Drosophila melanogaster: one gene and its partner. The protein of the gene in region 2 purifies or fractionates together with the protein of the main gene of each other region. This does not show direct contact. Each region holds a gene or a part of one and is shown on either strand. Other genes may lie near its edges. The genes, in order: betaTub85D and Idh.

Region 1 (10,099 bases), on a different chromosome or scaffold from region 2:
TGACCGCCACCATGTCGGCCATGGTGGTGTGGAGCGAGCTTACCTTCTTCAGTCGCCACCCTGTGCTTTCCATATTCGCCAACGTTATCTACGTGGCCAAGGAGAGCTACGACTTCTTTACTATTGAAGTCTTCTCTATGGTTGTTCTATGCTACTTCTTCTACTGCACTTACTCCACGATCTTGAGGATACGCTTCCTTAATCTCTACTACCTGGCACCGCATCACCAGACCAACGAGCACAGTCTGATCTTCAGCGGCATGCTGCTGTGCCGTCTGACACCACCCATGTGCCTCAACTTCCTGGGTCTCATCCATATGGACACACACATTATTCCCAACGTGAGTAGTAAACATGTTCGTAAACACTGAATTACTGAAAATTTATAAACTATTCCTCAGCGCATTATGGAGACGGTGTACACGCAGATCATGGGCCACATGGATGTTATTGGCATCATCTCGAACGGCTTCAATATCTACTTCCCAATGTGTATGCTGGCCTTCTGTCTGGCCACTTGGTTTAGCCTCGGCAGTCGGGCACTGAATGCTCTCGGCTTCCAGCAGTTCCTGCAAAACGAAACTATTGCTACCGAACTGGTGCAGGAGGGAAAGGATCTTATAGCGCGGGAAAAGCGCCGCCGCCAGCGTGCCGAGGAGGCGATGGCCAGACGCCGTGACTTCAACCGAACCGATCAGGTTCTGGGCAGCGATTACTTGAGCAAATACCGGAGTGGTGGACCCGGTGGACTAACCAGTAGTCGCACGCCCGCCGACGGGCTGCTGCGCGATGGCGACGGCAGCTTTGACTATGCGGCAGTGGCTTCTTCCTCTGCACTGGGCGTACCGCGATCCCTGTCGGAGGAGATCAACGACCGTTTCGGTGTGAGCACTCAGGTGCAGGTGGGATTCCGAGACCCCGACTACGAGGCGGAGACAGATGGTCGAATTGTCGGCCCACCACCCCGAGGACTCTTCGACGATGTCTAGACTTTGGATATGGATAACTCTTTATTTCAATTCGTTACCGAGTATCTCAATATTTCGCTCGCGCTTAAGTATTTCCCGATGCCACTGCTGCTGCTGCTGTTCCTTTACACCCATGTAGACCATTCAGTTGAATAAACCACTAAAGAGGATTCTTATCCATCTTTCGAAGGGAGTAGCGCGGTTCGTTGCTGCTCTCCTGGCTAGTGTCCAGACCACTATCCGTGCTGGTGTCCTGCGCCTCCACGTTCATCGAGATGTCCGTCTCCGATGAGTAGCTTGAGCTGATTGATTCTTCTAGATCAACATTTGTGCTATCCTGGTCGTCTTCCGACGTCGGTTTTCCACTCTGCAGTTGCGATATGGGATGCGGATTTATGCGCTTTCGGCCGCGCAGATAGCCACTGCGAGAGGTAACTGGAGTAGTCGGAAAATACATCTTGGTGCCTTGACTTCAATGACTTGAATGACTTGAATGATGACGGCCTGTCAGAAAGGAAAGCTGTCACTTTCGTAAGGCAACTCTAAAAAATGATTGCCAACAAAATATAGATTTTCGATATTGAGCGCTTAGCCTCAAATTCAATTCAATCCAGAATATTTATATATTAATGTTTAGGTTTATGCAATGCCTTTTGAACGGTATAAAAATATGCAAAATGCTGTTGGTAATCTTGTCTGCTTATAAATCAACATTTATTCGTAACCCAGAAATCACAGCAATTGCAACATGAGCTTAACAAAGGTGGACATATTTCTTCTGTACGTGTGTGAATGATAAATAATCGAACAGTGAAGAATCCATATAGGAAATATGTACAACCGACGGGCCTCGAAGCACAATATGCTAAGGCCCAAAGATCCAATGTGTTGTGCCTTCCTAATGGGTTCCCCTGCTAGCCTGTTTTGGTGTTCATGTGTGATCTTGAGTGGGAAGTTAATCCTATTATTCATCGCCGCCACCCTCTTCGTCTTCATCGAATTCGCCCTCCTCATCGGCAGTCGCCTCCTGGTACTGCTGATATTCAGAAACCAAGTCGTTCATGTTGCTCTCGGCCTCTGTGAATTCCATTTCGTCCATTCCCTCGCCGGTGTACCAATGCAAGAAGGCCTTCCTTCGGAACATGGCGGTGAACTGCTCCGAAACCCGTTTGAATAGCTCCTGAATGGCGGTGGAGTTGCCAATGAAGGTGGCCGACATCTTGAGACCTCTGGGCGGAATATCGCACACCGCTGTCTTGCAGTTATTCGGGATCCATTCCACGAAGAAGCTGCTGTTCTTGTTCTGAATGTTGAGCATCTGCTCGTCCACCTCCTTCATGGACATGCGGCCACGGAAGATGGCGGCGACGGTCAGATAGCGACCATGTCGCGGATCGCACGCAGCCATCATGTTCTTGGCATCGAACATCTGCTGGGTCAGCTCCGGAACGGTAAGGGCCCGGTATTGTTGCGATCCTCGCGAGGTGAGCGGTGCGAATCCGGGCATGAAGAAGTGCAGCCGGGGGAAGGGTACCATGTTCACGGCCAGCTTGCGAAGATCAGCGTTCAGCTGGCCAGGGAAGCGCAGGCAGGTCGTCACACCAGACATGGTGGCCGAAACCAGATGGTTCAGGTCACCGTAGGTGGGCGTGGTCAGCTTCAGTGTGCGGAAGCAGATGTCATACAACGCCTCGTTGTCGATGCAGTACGTCTCATCGGTGTTCTCCACCAGCTGATGCACACTCAGGGTGGCATTGTAGGGCTCCACCACCGTATCGGACACCTTGGGCGAGGGCACCACCGAGAAGGTGTTCATGATGCGGTCCGGGTACTCCTCGCGGATCTTCGAGATCAGCAGGGTTCCCATGCCGGAGCCAGTGCCGCCACCCAGCGAGTGGGTCAGCTGGAAGCCCTGTTGGAGAAAAGTAGGGTAAACTTTTTCAGATAAATTCCCAAACCCCCAAAACTTACCTGAAGGCAATCGCATCCCTCGGACTCCTTTCGCACCACATCCAAGACGGAATCCACCAGTTCAGCACCCTCGGTGTAATGACCCTTGGCCCAGTTGTTGCCTGCTCCCGATTGGCCAAACACAAAATTGTCCGGCCGGAAGATCTGGCCAAAGGCGCCAGAACGAACCGAATCCATGGTGCCGGGCTCCAGGTCCACGAGAATTGCGCGTGGCACATACTTGGCACCGGTGGCTTCATTGTAGTATACATTGATGCGCTCCAGCTGGAGATCACTATCGCCGTAGTACGTTCCGGTCGCATCTATACAGTGCTCATCCGAGATTACCTCCCAGAATTTACCACCGATCTGGTTACCGCATTGACCGGCCTGAATGTGTACAATTTCACGCATTTTGATAGTAAAGTTAGGGCCCCTTTTTCACACCGAAAAAATGGTACAAAAAAAAATCGAGCTTTTAAAACAGTCTGAGTGGGGCAAAAATCGGCAAAAGACTGAATATTTAAACGTATAATTTTTCAGGTTTAGATTTTAGTCGTGTACGTGCTAGCTGATACTGAGGTGAACTGAACCTGGCTTGGATTACTACACCGAATGTTCACAAATAGGCTACTACGATTTCCGACTTCGACACATTTCACACACCCCGATTTCAGAAAACTCAGTTCTCCGTTTTGAGCACAAACTTTAATAGTACTTACATAGATAAACGAATATACGGCTAAAATTCGAGATGGGATGGATTTGGCGGTGCCTTGGAAGCAATAGAGGATTCCAAGGCTACCGACCAGATGATACGATTGATATTGACATGGATGTCCTGGATTTTACTCCTTTGTAAATGTTTATATGGGTGTATAATGGGATGGGTCGATTATTTCTTAAGCAAAAACTGCCTTTTAAAGACTATTAACCTTGCTCTCCAAACTTATATGTATTATGACCCATCCTGGTTTAAAAATCTACGTAGGGAGGAAGGTTTGTCTAACAACCAAATTTTGGCGGCGGATGGTTCTCTACAGGATTGTAACTACGATTTGGTGATCCATTGGCTCTGGCTCCTACAATGAGGAGTCCCACAGCTGGCTGTACGGATATCAGACGGAGGCTCGCTTCAGGCACAAGGTGCTCTCGATAATGTCGGTAGGCTGAAAGTCCGGGTCCACGAACTGCTCATGATTCAGGCACCTGGTGCCACCCATGCAGGTGCAGGAACACAGGGAGGCGGTCTCATCGTTCTCCGTTGTGTAGTTGTTCTCCAGCAGCTTGCCGTGCATATTGTACGTGGACTCATCATCGAAGGTCACCGGCTGGGCATTTCCAGCCAAGTTCTGAGCATCCTGCTCATCTCTCTTGGCATCCTCTGCTTGCCTGTGATTAAAAATCCATTAAATAAGATATTTCCTGCAATAGAACATGGACTCACATGGTCATGAATCGGAGCACCAATAGATTGATACTGGCGGCCACCACGGCCAAGCCGAATAGGATGAAGACCAAGCTCAGCGCCACATAGCCAGGCTTATTAGTTAGAGCTTGGTCGTTCTGCAATGCCACATAATCGCCGAAACCAATTGTCGTCAAGGTGACAAAACAATAGTAGAAGCTATCGAAGTAGCTCCAACCCTCGTATCGGGAAAAGACTGCTGCTCCAGTGGTGATTATTATGGAGGAGAGCATTCCGGTGGCCAACATGAGATTCATTTCGGTGGCATCCGTACAGCGAGCTCCACTGGCTCTCTTTGCCCGCCTTATTATCACGGATGCAAACTTATTCAGACGTTCTCCGATAGACTGGAACATCACCAGACCCAGCGGGATGCCCACCTAATAAGGGAATATCTTTAGAAGACTGGAAATTGGGATTGTAAGTTCACTTACCATAGCATAGCCCATACAAAATGCTTTTCCCGGAATTGTAACTGGCGTAGAATGACCATATCCTAAAGAAAGTTACAACAGAATTATAATCTATTCAATAAATCATATTTAATAGATAATTAATTTACCTATCATTGCCAGTACAACCGTGCTGAAATAGAAAGCTCCAGCGAATTTCCACTGAGGTCCGGCCTTGTGGGGCTTATTTTCAATGATGACGATTTCCATCACACGGAAATCCTCGTCAGTCACATTGTACTTTCTAACAAAGTTGTTCTTAACGGCTACAATTGATTAAATAAATTCATTACTAAGAAATTAGGTTAATAAATCAACAAGCTTCTCACTCTGTAGGAATTCCCATCTTTTGGCCTCCGTTGGTGACTCCAGGGAATCGAACACGGCGGCTCCAATTAAAAGATAGGTGAAAGTGCATACCACCAGGGAAAGGGTACGGACATTCTGTCGCTTCATCATATAGTCTCAAATATAATCACTACGATCTATAATCAATTAATATATTTTGCACCACGCGCCTTTTTCGTTCAGTTAAAGATGCTGCGTCTGACAAAATCGATAGTTGTCAGCAAAACAAACACACAGCATCCGCCAAAAATGGTTGATTTCGGTTACAGTGGCCGAATAACATATGATACAATGAATTTTAAAAATTTCATCATTCTTTAAATATGTAATAAGTTTTCTTTTATCTATTGATTTGACCGTTAATCTCAATAAAGGATTGTGATTTTACCGTTAGTTTATCACAACAGAAGCAACAGAATTTGATGGCGTTGCCACTTGGCGGTATCTGTTAACTCTGTACAGCTAAAAAGCTGTAATGTCACGATAACTAAGGATAATAATAATTTTTTTAAAGGATCAATATACACAAACAACATAAGAGTTTTATTACATTTTCTTTAATTGCCTTTAAAGTTTTTGTCTTTCTAAGCCATTTTAACAATTTAACATTTTGCAGTTAGCAGCGCCGATAACTTGACAGCCTATCGATTTTCGGGAAAAGCAAACATATCGCCAGATCTGATTTGTTTATGCTAAAAAAAAACCACGCAAGTTCCAACCGATTGGATTGTTGCAGTTGGCTGCTGTGTCTCTGACGTCGACGTTTCCATGCTTAATTAACCGGAAAATGTTGCGAATACGTCGGCGGTTCGCTTTGGTAATTTGCTCCGGCTGCCTGCTGGTTTTCCTCAGCCTGTACATAATCCTCAATTTTGCGGCGCCGGCAGCCACCCAGATAAAGGTAAATAAATGCTTCTAAATCAATTCGAATGTATAATAACTTCTTTATTTTAGCAGCCCAACTATGAGAACATTGAGAACAAGCTGCATGAGCTGGAAAATGGTTTGCAGGAGCACGGGGAGGAGATGCGGAATCTCAGGGCGCGTCTTGCCGAAACATCCAATCGCGACGATCCAATAAGACCTCCACTTAAAGTGGCTCGTTCCCCGAGGCCAGGGCAATGCCAAGATGTGGTCCAAGACGTGCCCAATGTGGATGTACAGATGCTGGAGCTATACGATCGCATGTCCTTCAAGGACATAGATGGAGGCGTGTGGAAACAGGGCTGGAACATTAAGTACGATCCACTGAAGTACAACGCCCATCACAAACTAAAAGTCTTCGTTGTGCCGCACTCGCACAACGATCCTGGATGGATTCAGACGTTTGAGGAATACTACCAGCACGACACCAAGCACATCCTGTCCAATGCACTACGGCATCTGCACGACAATCCCGAGATGAAGTTCATCTGGGCGGAAATCTCCTACTTTGCTCGGTTCTATCACGATTTGGGAGAGAACAAAAAGCTGCAGATGAAGTCGTAAGCATGCTTTCCCTATATAGTATTGATACAATAATGAATAACGGTAGTTAACCCACAAAACAAAGTGCAATGCCATTTTGCTATTGCATTCCATAAACCTTACACAGTTGTTATGTGCAGCAGTGAAATATTTTACTTCGTTATTGCGTCAAAAGCGTTTAGATAAACAAAATGCATGATCACGCTGCTTGTTTTCCGAAACAGCTTTGTACTTATCTACCTAATATTTATAACCCAAAGCAGAAATAGGAATTGATAAGCTTTGCAGTCTCAACAACTACAATATTTAGTTTTTAACAAAAAATAATAAATTATTTACTTATTTACAGCATTGTAAAGAATGGACAGTTGGAATTTGTGACTGGAGGATGGGTAATGCCGGACGAGGCCAACTCCCACTGGCGAAACGTACTGCTGCAGCTGACCGAAGGGCAAACATGGTTGAAGCAATTCATGAATGTCACACCCACTGCTTCCTGGGCCATCGATCCCTTCGGACACAGTCCCACTATGCCGTACATTTTGCAGAAGAGTGGTTTCAAGAATATGCTTATCCAAAGGACGCACTATTCGGTTAAGAAGGAACTGGCCCAACAGCGACAGCTTGAGTTCCTGTGGCGCCAGATCTGGGACAACAAAGGGGACACAGCTCTCTTCACCCACATGATGCCCTTCTACTCGTACGACATTCCTCACACCTGTGGTCCAGATCCCAAGGTTTGCTGTCAGTTCGATTTCAAACGAATGGGCTCCTTCGGTTTGAGCTGTCCATGGAAGGTGCCGCCGCGTACAATCAGTGATCAAAATGTGGCAGCACGCTCAGATCTGCTGGTTGATCAGTGGAAGAAGAAGGCCGAGCTGTATCGCACGAACGTGCTGCTGATTCCGTTGGGTGACGACTTCCGCTTCAAGCAGAACACCGAGTGGGATGTGCAGCGCGTGAACTACGAAAGGCTGTTCGAACACATCAACAGCCAGGCCCACTTCAATGTCCAGGCGCAGTTCGGCACACTGCAGGAATACTTTGATGCAGTGCACCAGGCGGAAAGGGCGGGACAAGCCGAGTTTCCCACGCTAAGCGGTGACTTTTTCACATACGCCGATCGATCGGATAACTATTGGAGTGGCTACTACACATCCCGCCCGTATCATAAGCGCATGGACCGCGTCCTGATGCACTATGTACGTGCAGCAGAAATGCTTTCCGCCTGGCACTCCTGGGACGGTATGGCCCGCATCGAGGAACGTCTGGAGCAGGCCCGCAGGGAGCTGTCATTGTTCCAGCACCACGACGGTATAACTGGCACAGCAAAAACGCACGTAGTCGTCGACTACGAGCAACGCATGCAGGAAGCTTTAAAAGCCTGTCAAATGGTAATGCAACAGTCGGTCTACCGATTGCTGACAAAGCCCTCCATCTACAGTCCGGACTTCAGTTTCTCGTACTTTACGCTCGACGACTCCCGCTGGCCAGGATCTGGTGTGGAGGACAGTCGAACCACCATAATACTGGGCGAGGATATACTGCCCTCCAAGCATGTGGTGATGCACAACACCCTGCCCCACTGGCGGGAGCAGCTGGTGGACTTTTATGTATCCAGTCCGTTTGTAAGCGTTACCGACTTGGCAAACAATCCGGTGGAGGCTCAGGTGTCCCCGGTGTGGAGCTGGCACCACGACACACTCACAAAGACTATCCACCCACAAGGCTCCACCACCAAGTACCGCATCATCTTCAAGGCTCGGGTGCCGCCCATGGGCTTGGCCACCTACGTTTTAACCATCTCCGATTCCAAGCCAGAGTGAGTAGCCAGTTAAAGATTACCCATTTATCAAAGGAACAAGAATCCTTTCCGTACTTTCTGTATTAATTGTACATTTTCGTAACACGTTTCGCTATGCCGTTTCCTTAAACCATTATAGAGTGCAGGTTTTATTTATTGATATTAATATTTCATTAACCAGATGCCGTAATTGTCTTCTATTTATACTATTTATTTATACTTTTTCAATAAGCATTTCAATGTTACTTACAGGCACACCTCGTATGCATCGAATCTCTTGCTCCGTAAAAACCCGACTTCGTTACCATTGGGCCAATATCCGGAGGATGTGAAGTTTGGCGATCCTCGAGAGATCTCATTGCGGGTTGGTAACGGACCCACCTTGGCCTTTTCGGAGCAGGGTCTCCTTAAGTCCATTCAGCTTACTCAGGATAGCCCACATGTACCGGTGCACTTCAAGTTCCTCAAGTATGGCGTTCGATCGCATGGCGATAGATCCGGTGCCTATCTGTTCCTGCCCAATGGACCAGCTTCGCCAGTCGAGCTTGGCCAGCCAGTGGTCCTGGTGACTAAGGGCAAACTGGAGTCGTCCGTGAGCGTGGGACTTCCGAGCGTGGTGCACCAGACGATAATGCGCGGTGGTGCACCTGAGATTCGCAATCTGGTGGATATAGGCTCACTGGACAACACGGAGATCGTGATGCGCTTGGAGACGCATATCGACAGCGGCGATATCTTCTACACGGATCTCAATGGATTGCAATTTATCAAGAGGCGGCGTTTGGACAAATTACCTTTGCAGGCCAACTATTATCCCATACCTTCTGGTATGTTCATTGAGGATGCCAATACGCGACTCACTCTCCTCACGGGTCAACCGCTGGGTGGATCTTCTCTGGCCTCGGGCGAGCTAGAGATTATGCAAGATCGTCGCCTGGCCAGCGATGATGAACGCGGCCTGGGACAGGGTGTTTTGGACAACAAGCCGGTGCTGCATATTTATCGGCTGGTGCTGGAGAAGGTTAACAACTGTGTCCGACCGTCAGAGCTTCATCCTGCCGGCTATTTGACAAGTGCCGCTCACAAAGCATCGCAGTCACTGCTGGATCCACTGGACAAGTTTATATTCGCTGAAAATGAGTGGATCGGGGCACAGGGGCAATTTGGTGGCGATCATCCTTCGGCTCGTGAGGATCTCGATGTGTCGGTGATGAGACGCTTAACCAAGAGCTCGGCCAAAACCCAGCGAGTAGGCTACGTTCTGCACCGCACCAATCTGATGCAATGCGGCACTCCAGAGGAGCATACACAGAAGGTGAGCTTAGAAGTTTATTATATTAATATCAAAGAAAGTGGAAATGGTATTTATTTATAATTAACAATATTGTTTGACTAATTGTTCGTTCGTCAGCTGGATGTGTGCCACCTACTGCCGAATGTGGCGAGATGCGAGCGCACGACGCTGACTTTCCTGCAGAATTTGGAGCACTTGGATGGCATGGTGGCGCCGGAAGTGTGCCCCATGGAAACCGCCGCTTATGTGAGCAGTCACTCAAGCTGATCGCAACGTGTTATGGCAAAGGATAAAGCAGAAACTGAAGCCAAGCGACCATCTCACAACCTATGAATCTCGGACGCTAAT
Region 2 (10,786 bases):
GGCAGACCTACGGCATTGACTACGTCTGGTATTATTTATCATATTCGTCTATATATACATATAAAAACGTGCATTTTGATTTCCATATATACGCGAGTAATAGATTTTTATTATTTTGCACTTTGAGGCACCCGAAAGTCAGTGCTGGTCAGGATGTGCCCCGGATCAATTAGTGGGTTGAAGTGAATCTTGGGCGATGGATGTTCGTTGTTGTTTTTTGTGATCTGATCTGGGGCACATATTGATCTGCTCTGGCAAATGCTACACGTATAACGGCTATAAATAAATAAATTAACAAAAAATGCTAATTCATAATGTAATTATTCATTTCTTTTTGCGGTATGGTACATATTATAAAGAATACAAACGTTGCGACCTTTTGGATAAGTCTTGATGAAGTTGAAGTTAATTATTTATTAAGAATTTCAATAAGCTAATAACATTCGAGTAAGAAACAGGCTTATTTATTTATATGTGACTAGAATCCGACCAGAATCACACCAGGCTTTAATACTATCGTTCCACTTGTCCACTCTTCCATTTTGAATCTCCCGCTCAGATGAAGAACAATCGCTGCATTGCCTCGCTCGTTTTTTGTGGCGTCGATACCGCCATTGTCGCGTAGTTCATCAAAAGATCGGCCGACGAGCTGCGCTGCATGAGACGCCTCCTTCCGGCACTGCCACCTCTGGCATTGCTAAAGGATCGGCTCCTCACATGACCCCGATGACGCCTCTTGGGCCGCTGGGCTACGGCTCCAAAGCAGGACACCTGCTGCTCCGCTTCGCTCTCACTTTCGCTGTGATTCGGGTGACTTTCCACTATCACATGGGACTGGAGTGTCTGGTTGGATTGCTCCATCTCCTGGGTAATGGTCTCCGATCCACTTGTGTCCTCGGGCGTCAAGCGAGCTCGTTTGCCCACACTATAACTCGATGGGTCCCTCGACAACTCGGATCCGAAATTACTACTGCTCCGTTCATGTGGAAGATTAGTGCCGTAGCTCAGGAAATCCGGGTACGGCAGATGCAGCTCATCGCTAGTGAATGCTTCAGGAGAGGAGAAGGTATGTCGCAGCCTCCGGACACGGTAACCCCTGCCAGGTGGAACCTGTTGCACCACCAACCACGATCTCTTTAGGAAGGTGTGCTCCGTGCAATTGCTGATTGTCTGCTCCGGACTTTGTTTCTGCAATTGGTTCTGGTCGGTTGTCACAGGACTCTCTGCCGTGGTGGAGGGCAAGCCTAGAGTGAGTGAAATGCTAAGTGAGTCGCCTCCCTGGGTGCACTCATCTGCCGTGCTGCCGGGCGTTGTGGCTGACCCACCTGCTGTGGGTAGTTCACCCCCAGCGGATAACGATGACGGGCTCGTTGAAATCCCCACGGATTGGACCCGCTGCCCTGACTCCTTTGCTGCCGGGAGAGACGTGCCTGCAGTGCCTGCAAGTGGGACTCTGTGGGTAAGTTAGCGACTGCAGGGCGGGATTGGGGGAACTCTCGACCTACCACAAATAGCCGTGGCGAGGAGCATTCGCTGGGCCATCGTCTGGACGTGTTCGGCATCCTCCGTTGTATCCGTGGCAGCCACCGCATGGGTCATTGCCGCCGCCGAGGTACTGGGCTGTTCTTGATCCCTTTCCAGGGTGCAGCTGCGATGCAGTGGGAGTACCGATTGCACGGTGCAATTGCTTGCGGCGCGACTGCAGCTCCGATCTCTAGGCGGAGCTCGACGGGCCCGTCTCTGGCGACGTGGCTCCCGTAGCTCCTGTTGCATTCCTACCTTGATGACCTCCTCGTAATCGGGTGGTGCCTCGTAGCTGGGTGGCTCATCGGGCGTGCGATCCTCGTCCTGGCGATCCAACAGCTCACTGATCGTCTGCAGGTGGCTTTGAAGCTCACGTTGGTGTCGTGCTCTAACCCCCATCCTGTACAGGATCACCATCCAGCCGGACAGCACACCAAATATGCCAAGTGTGCTGATGATAAAGATTCCCGTGGCCGTCTTAAGATCTGGATACTGGTCTATCTTGGGGAAATAATAGTTGGGCTTGTGAGAGTACCAGCGACGATCGTGATGCAGGTGTGCCCAGTCCTCCTCGCAGGAATCCGGCTCATCGCTGCCATCCCCACAATGGTCGAAGCCATCGCAGTGGAGGCGAATGGATATGCAGTGATTGTTCCCGCACAGAAACTCCGAGCCAATATAGCAATCTAAGCAATTCGAATTGGTTAATTAAACATTAAATTTAAATTTTCCAATCGAACTCACTCAAGTAGTTGAACACGCTGTAGACGATGGCCAGCTTGGAGGACATCCCGAATACCCCACGCAGTCGAATGTAGTAGCCATTGAGGATGGGCGCCACATGACTCTCCTTGCTCAGCCCATTGTTCGGCCACATCACATTCTCGATCTCCACGGCATCCGAGGTGGTGCCCTGCCGTATTGTGAGCTCAGATCTGGCGGCCATGCCGTAGAAGTCATCCACTCTCAACGAGATGTGGGTTTTCATCATCATGTAGTTGTTGCCGGGCTTTATAATCCAGATGCAGTCAAACAGCCGCACGTCCGTGGCATTTTCGATCATGTTCATCATGGTGATGGCGCCACCAGGTCCGGTAACCATTCCCCCGCAATCTAGAGGTGTAATAGAGATATGTACATAAGCATTTATTTATGTGCTCTTGCATCATGCATTGTGATCCAACCTGTCGCAATAGTGCATAACCAACCCCATTCCGGATTATATACAAGTATTTGCCAACCACCCTACGGGCAATGATCCAAGAAATCGATTGTCTTACCAAACCGAACCCAACCAGAGTCACCCAGTTTCCACTTCAACGCCTTGCATTGACATTGATATTCGCCAAGTGCCCACCCCACCCACTACCTTCGCCAAAATCAATATGACAATTGCCTGCAGACTTTCAAGTGCTCGACTAATCCGAAAATCATTAAAATGTCCCTATTCCTACAGAGAAAAGATATACTAATCCATTTAAAAAGTTAATCAATCTGCGAGTTCTAAAATGAAGATAAGCATAATGTTCTATACTTTTAAAAACCTCGAATTTTTTAATCCTGCGGAATATTTGTGTTTTAACCTTAGATCTGAGTTGTTTGATAGTCTTAGTTTTTGTTCAGTGCACTGCAACCCATTCACTTACCTGTGTAGGGCACCAGTCGCTCGTCCTTGAGCTGCTTGGAGGATACGAAGCTAACCTCCGCGCGAAAACCCACTCCGGTGGCGGAATTTCCTCGAAACTGCAGGAGCAGAGACTTGCCGCTGCTCACCGTGATCGGCGGACGGAAGTGCTCACCCGTATAGGAGTCCAGCATCTGGCCATTGGAGTCGAAGATCTCTAGGGTGGAGGTGAGGCCCAGCTGGAAGTCGGTAAAATCCAAACGCACCTGGCAGTTGTCCGCCTCGCAGGTGAGGATGTGTTCGATACCATAGTCGCGTGGATATGCCATCGGGAAATACGGCGTGGAGATCACTTGTGGCTGGGACTTTGTACTCCCATTGCCCACAATAGACTGCTTGGGGGAGCCACTGACTATCCGCACGTTGCCTATTCCGAGGGAAATCCGGATAGAGCATTCTTAAAAACCTACCAACTGATTCTAAATCTTACGTTCCGAGAAGTATTGAAGGGAGAACACGTGCGCATTGCTGGCTCTGTAGAAGAATTTCAACTGCAGTGTCCTGGTTTTGCTCCGAAACACCTTGCCATCTCCACAGAACTCTTGGCCGGAAATGGTGGAATCATAGGGCGGCTCCGAGAACTGGATATGCTCGCAGGGACACATGCTGGACTTGCCACCCGTATTGCCGCAACTTTTGGAGAAGTTGGCATAGGTGAAGGCCACTCGGATGACGCACTCGGCACAGGTGACCAGCTCCAGGCTGCACTGGTACCACACATCCCCGGCCACTGCATCGTTCTTAAAAACCAGCGGCGAGCTCTGTTTTTAAGTTCATAATTGCTGACCAAATCCCGTCTGGAGAAGCTTGTAAATACACTTACTCTATAGGCAGTAGTAGTCACATTCCTGGCGTGCACCTCTCCAGCTGGACTTCCCAGTTCCAGGAAGTGACGTCTTCCGTCCCAATGATTGCATATATCCAGATCCCGGTAGCTACTGCTGGCGGGATACGCCTCTCCTGGCCAGCAGAGCAGGCAGATCACGTAGGCCAGCAGGTAGCCATAGCCCAATGCTTCGGCTAGCATCGATAGTTTCGTCCTTCTAACAGGATCCTGAGCCCCTTCCGCTTGAACCGTCTCGGTCTGGTGCCGCCAAGTGTTAGAACACAACTGTGGCCATTTCGCTGGCAAATCCAATAAACCCAGAGCCATCAGAAGCCGCACAAGTGGACCGGGCCTCGTAACGAGCCCACCCTCGACTGGGTTAAAGACCTCTCGAGTCCGGTATAAAAATACATTTATTTGAAATTTCTTTTCCGTTAGACGTTAAAGGGAAATCAGGGTTTTTTTTTGCGTCTCGCAGAGACAATGAAACAGTGGGAAACATGCATCGAGGACACGGATTTTTAGCCTAGGACATGCACATCTACAAAAACGAATGGAAATATTGTGAATATGGTGACGAGGACAAGGCATCGCTGAGTAGTTTTCTAGAGATGCGAGGCCTGCTGCTCGGACTGAGTGCCGGATAGTCATTTGGCAGCAACGGCATTCTTGGCCAGGGCACCCTCCAGGTTCTTGGCCAGCGTGTTAATGAACTCAAAAGTCTCCTGGTAGTCCCTGCGAGTAACGGCGTTGATGTTGCCTTTAATGCAGATGGCCAGATCCTTGGTCATGGCGCCGCTCTCAATTGTGTCGATGCACACCTGCTCAAGGGTGTCGGCGAACTGCTTCAGTGGCTCATTGTTGTCCAGCTTGGCACGATGCAGCAGGCCACGGGTCCAGGCGAATATCGAGGCAATGGGGTTGGTGGAGGTCTCCTTGCCCTGCTGGTAGAAGCGGAAGTGACGCGTCACCGTTCCGTGAGCGGCTTCAGCCTCCACGGTCTTGCCATCGGGGCATAGCAGCACGGAGGTCATCAGACCCAGAGATCCGTAGCCCTGGGCAACGGAGTCCGACTGCACATCACCGTCGTAGTTCTTGCAGGCCCACACGAAGCCACCCTCCGACTTCATGGCATAAGCAACCATATCGTCGATGAGACGGTGTTCATACCAGATGCCCGCCGCCTCGTACTCCTTCTTGTACTGCTTGTTGTACAGGTCCTCGAATATGTCCTTGAAGCGTCCATCGTACTTCTTCAGAATGGTGTTCTTGGTGCTCATGTACAGCGGCAGCTTGCGGTCCAGAGCATATTTGAAAGAGGCGTGGGCAAAGTCCACAATGGAATCGTCCGTGTTGAACATTCCCAGGGCAATACCGGGGCCCTTGAAGTCATTAATGACCTCATCGATCACCTGACCGTCGGTTCCCTTCCAGGTGAGGGTCAGCTTGCCGGGTCCGGGAACCACGTAGTCGACGGCCTTGTACTGATCGGCGTGGGCATGGCGACCGATCACAATAGGCTTCTGCCAGCCAGTCACCAGACGGGGCACGTTCTTGCAGATGATTGCCTCACGGAAGACGGTTCCTCCCAAGATGTTACGGATGGTACCGTTGGGCGACTTCCACATCTTCTTCAGGTTGAACTCCTCTACGCGCTTCTCGTCGGGAGTGATTGTGGCGCACTTGATGCCCACGTTGTACTTCTTGATGGCCTCAGCACAGTCAATGGTGACCTGGTCCTCGGTTTTATCGCGGTTCTCAATACCAAGATCGTAGGTATGCAGCTCAATGTCCAGGAAGGGCAGAATCAGTTGGCTCTTAATGGAGTCCCAAATGATGCGGGTCATCTCGTCACCGAGGACATCCACAACGGGACCGGCTTTGATCTTCTGGGCCATCTGTTCGGGAGAGCATACCACACTTGAGTGCTTGAAGGGCAGGATGGGAATCTTATTAGCTACATGAAAAATGGATTTGTGTCTGAATGCTGCGGTATTGGGGTATTCACCTCGCTCACGGCGGACATCCTTTCATTATCCATGGATATCTTATGGGTTTTGGGGTCCTAAGCACAGGCGATACAGGCGAAACTTATATGTATGACGATAATAAACTGACAACTGGTCAAAGCAAAGTAAACTTTGATCAGCCTGGGATAGGGTGGGTCGATATTGATGGATGGAAATTAAAATACACCGTGTTTCAAAAGTAATCCCTTATCTTTACTTTGTAATATTTAATATTTCGTCGTGACGACGTAATTATTAAGGTACTTGCCTAAAAGTTAATATCTCTACTTTGCATTCATAGGTTATAAATTTAAGAAAAAATTGTTCAATTTTTTTGTATAAACAGTAAATATAGTAATCCTATTTATCGGATGCTAGCAGCACAGGTGACTACGTGATTGTTTATAATCTTAATATTGAGACCGACTTCAAAAAATTCAAAATATCTTTTTCTCCTGCTCATCGACCCACCCTATTCCGAAATTTAGTAAGCAAAGAGATTTAGAGCGACAGAGGGCGAGGATACAAGGAGGACCTACCGCGGCGCTGATGGCGAAATTGGCCCGAAAAACGGCCTGGCTGAGATGCGGCTGCCGGTGGACCGACGTCATCATTGCGGCTGTGCGGCGCAGGGCGAACATTTTACAACCGGATTGGTGTGGATGTGGGTATTATTATTATGAATGAACCGACCGACGACTGGAAACGAGAGACGATAGTGTTTGTCACCAATGTGAAACAATACGAGACAATATGACACTGGAGTCCCGGGAAAGAGAACAATTTTCGGACAAAGCAAAATTAAATGCTGTGGGCGTCAGACGCGCTCTAACCGTAACTGATAACTGTAAAGTGCCGTTAAGCGCTACAGTTTCCGACTCTCTTGGGTGGCGTACAATCGTCAAATTGTTGCGCAATCGGCGTAATCACAACGTTCTAAATGCCCAGTCAGATAAGATTTAGAACCTCGGACTTTGATAAGCTGCTCTCACAACACTCGGCACACTTAAAAGCAAGTGTTTTAATTAATAATGTAACGAGAGTATAAAAAACAATAAGCACTCGGCGAACGCGTAAACATGTAATCGTTATCGCCGGCTGACTTGTCAATCGCTTTCGCATTGCGGGTGGCATTGTCCCTCTCTTCCGAATGACAACTGTTGCGTTTATCAGCTGGCGAAAAACTTTTCCACTATTGCGGGCTAGCCACTTTTATTTAAAGTTCACGGCCGACTTGTTTTGATAAGGAATACAAATTAGAAAAGCGCGTGGCATTAAGCTTATTTATTCAACTTCACCCGAATTCAAAATCAGCTGGTACGTGCGGTACTATCGATAACGATAGTCGAACTGACATGTTAAAGCTTAGATAATATTTGAACTTGGGCGCCAATCTTTTTTTTTTTTTGTTGCGAAGGAGGCTCGCTCTGATTATCTTGAAACGTCTACCATTCTTATCTACTCAGTCAATGCCATTTACTTCCAAATTAAAATAGCAATTGCGTGATGTTTTTTTGGATTTTTCTTCTCATATTTAATAGATCCATTGTCTGACTTTAATATAAATATCTCTAAGTCTTTATAGGTACATGTGTACCTAATTAACATATTGAGGTGGCGCGATCGCCGAACACGCCATAAGCTGAGGCCACGCCCACAATTATATATAATAACAATATTTATGCTTTCACCAAACGAATTTCACAAGCGTTTTTTTTTCTAGTCCAACTGGGAGAATTCGAACATAGTACGATATTGATAAGACTTGCGATTGGTAAATAAGCTGGTAATGACGGGGCGAATAAATTATCTAGATCTAATCTGATATTTTCTCATCTGGTGTTTTTCTAGTCCCAGAAATATTTATTGTTGAAATAAAAAGATTGCATGATGACTTTTGACCCTTGAACTTTATGAAACTGTTAATACAAAATTCGCTAGAAATAAAAAAGAAAACCTAATAAAATTATGGTTTTAATTTTTCGACTGACAAGTTAATAAAAGAGTCCATCTATCCTTATCAAATATAAGTTTACGATAATCTAATTATAGTAATTAATTGTATTCAGATCTGACTTCTAGTTTGATAAATGAAAAAAATAAACGTCGACTGTTTAAGTTGTTTAAGCACTCAAAACATAGGACAAACTTAGAAAGTTAAAAACATTTCCAAATTGTGCATGCAAAAGTCCCAATGAGATACGAGCTATCTGGAGGTTTTCTCGAACCATCTATTTGTAGATATGCATAGTAATTGTATAGGTTTAATTAAAACTGTCGACACGAATTCAAGATTAAACTTTGGACAGCACCTGGAGAATCAGGTGGATGTGAAAAGGCCTGTCGAATGGGTTACGTGTCTCTCTCTCTCCACATATATCCCCCTCTTTCACACTGTCGTCTCTTCACACTTTTTTTATCCGTATCTCTCTTTTTCGAGGAGGCAAACCGGTGCAAAGAAAAAAACAAAACAGCGGCAGACAAATAAAATGCATATGAAAACAGACCGGTGGGGAAAGTTCGGGCCCAAATAGGTTGGGCCAGAGGTTATGCATAAAGTTAAAATGCGCAACTTATTTGCATTAAGGAGGCTTGAATTGCGGCAAATTTACGTATTGCAACCGATCTGGAAATCCACCATTTTTTATTTGCTCAGATAAATTGCAAGTCAGCCTTTGAGTGCAGTAAATAGCTGGGCGGAATGCGATCGGAAGTGTGGGTGTTTGGCGTGGAGTGTGAACCGGTTTATATAAGGCTAAACAAATGCTCCACTTACCTTTTAGAATATTTAAAATGCCGAATTTAGAATGTTAGAGCACAGACTAATTAAATTGCAGACCGAAAGATCTCGAACCACTCCCAATCAGACGCAGCGAATAACTGAAACTGATTTGGCGACGACAACAATAAAGAGCAAGAGGTGGCGCGTGTGGAAGATAATTCCGTAGATAAAAACATGTTATTCAATCAGCTGCTTGCGAAGAGCTTTCTCACGAACTTTAAGCTTTACTCTCGAGTTCTGCAGCACTCAGTATTAGTTCGTCTTGCTGAACCGCCAAACATAAAATTTGAATTCTCAATTACCGCAACTTGTGAGAGCAGCGTGCGTTCGTTTGCTTTAATGACGCTAAAAGAAAATCCATAAAATGTGCTCCAAAAGTGAAATGTTAGCCGGCGCCGTTTAACTGGTCTTAAATATGCAAAAAAAATTTAAAATTGCCATCTTTTGTTGTGACCGCCTTTAATATGCGAAAGTGTGCTGCCATTAAGACGCGAATGCTACGTTCTTTCGCATAGTTTGGACAGTTGAAAGGAATGTGGGATATTCAGTAATGATAATAAAATCATTGAATTAGTTATTGAATGACGAAACAAGAAAATGCTCATTAACATGTTCCGTTGTTATTCTTATCGCGCAAAATTACATATTTTATTTTCCCCCCTAGATAAATAGTTACCCATCTCATTAGGGACCGCACCCGATAAGCATTTTCAAACATCATGGAAAACATCAAATGCGGCGACAGCCAACCGAACATGCATGAAAATCACTCGATCTTGGGCCTATTATTTGACAAAAACTGGCTAGAAAACTCGTCTAATTGCGACGCTTTCTTTGCTTTTGCCGTGTGGCATTAGATAAGCGCCGTTTATGCTCGCTTATATAACCCCCAATTATAACGTGTCTTAATTTGTGCATGCCAATGCATTAAATAACATATTCGGTTTTGGCCCATCCTCTCAGGTAAAATAAACGCGTGCCGGCGAAACCTCAATGTAAACGTGCTTTGGTTTTCTGCCCTGCACCACTTCACTTCACCTTGCTGGATGGAACCATCAGTACCCGCCATTAGCCATGTCAATGAACGTGAAATGGCCACTGGTTGCCACTTGGCCACTTGCTCTTGCCCAGGCACATCATTCACACATCGGATGGCAGATAGTTTCGTGGAGTGCGTGCCCGCACTGCCTTATTTGTTAGTTGGCATTGTTAAACTATTACTTTTTTTTTGTGGTTCCTCGTTATGTAAACAGATGACAAAAAAAAATTAAACCCAAGACAGAAGCGTCTGGTAAACTACTTTTAGTTTCAGCCAGCGGAATGCTAAGGAGAAAAGTAAAAGCAGCAGTAGAAACAGCAGAAGAAGCCATCCTAAATATTAGCTAAATATGTTTTCTGTCTGTCGTTTTGAAAGTGAGCAGTAGCCAGCGCCCTCGAATGAAGACAATTTGCATAAATAACAATATGTGGCAGATCTTTAAATACGTATAGAAAAATGCTCGTAAATACCGGCGCACATCACTCATGCGCCCGGGTGAACGGCTAGCATTCCACACTTTTCACTTGTTACCCATACGCCCCGTGGTGCGGTGCGAATTCCCTTTGGCCCCCACGAGGAATTCACCCACTGAGATGCCGTGCACGTGCAGCGGATCTTGCTGTGATGTGATGGATATTCGAACGCCTTTCGATCTCTAATGCACGCCTGCAATAACAAATTACTTCCTGTCCACATTCCAAGCGGCCGTGTGTCTTTGGTTGTTACCATTCTGAAGACGTGTGTGTAGCCAAGGCATCGGAATATTACTATTAATTATATTGAATGGAGAAAGTCAATTTCGTCAAACAGAAGAAGAAAACAAAAACAACATACGAAACAAAAAACAAAAAAAAAAACAGACCAAAACGAACCAACTCCTATGCTGAACAGCAGCAGCAGCAGCAGCTTGTCTTTTGTGCGC

The links.
Region 1: the proteins of Idh (region 2) and betaTub85D purify together in Drosophila melanogaster (affinity purification with mass spectrometry, with the first as the bait; one large-scale study listed by BioGRID). This does not show direct contact.

What each region holds. Positions count from the first base shown.
Region 1 is NT_033777.3:9,406,721-9,416,819, forward strand, and holds betaTub85D (beta-Tubulin at 85D), read right to left. Parts: upstream 3,563-10,099; 5' UTR 3,333-3,562; coding exon 2,940-3,332; intron 2,881-2,939; coding exon 1,933-2,880; 3' UTR 1,663-1,932; downstream 1-1,662. Other genes in the region: CG8135 (uncharacterized protein), read left to right, coding at 1-341, 402-989; CG44261 (uncharacterized protein), read right to left, coding at 1,129-1,425; Task7 (TWIK-related acid-sensitive K[+] channel 7), read right to left, coding at 4,037-4,310, 4,366-4,766, 4,821-4,882, 4,949-5,104, 5,168-5,297; alpha-Man-IIa (alpha-Mannosidase class II a), read left to right, coding at 5,974-6,087, 6,141-6,670, 7,003-8,475, 8,710-9,772, 9,869-10,018. UniProt on the Drosophila melanogaster protein: Tubulin is the major constituent of microtubules, a cylinder consisting of laterally associated linear protofilaments composed of alpha- and beta-tubulin heterodimers.
Region 2 is NT_037436.4:8,351,974-8,362,759, forward strand, and holds Idh (isocitrate dehydrogenase), read right to left. Parts: upstream 6,968-10,786; 5' UTR 6,685-6,967; coding exon 6,583-6,684; intron 6,153-6,582; exon of another isoform or gene 6,100-6,152; coding exon 6,043-6,099; intron 5,963-6,042; coding exon 4,682-5,962; 3' UTR 4,431-4,681; downstream 1-4,430. Other genes in the region: Culd (CUB and LDLa domain), read right to left, coding at 556-1,439, 1,506-2,210, 2,269-2,637, 3,171-3,575, 3,639-3,969, 4,032-4,235.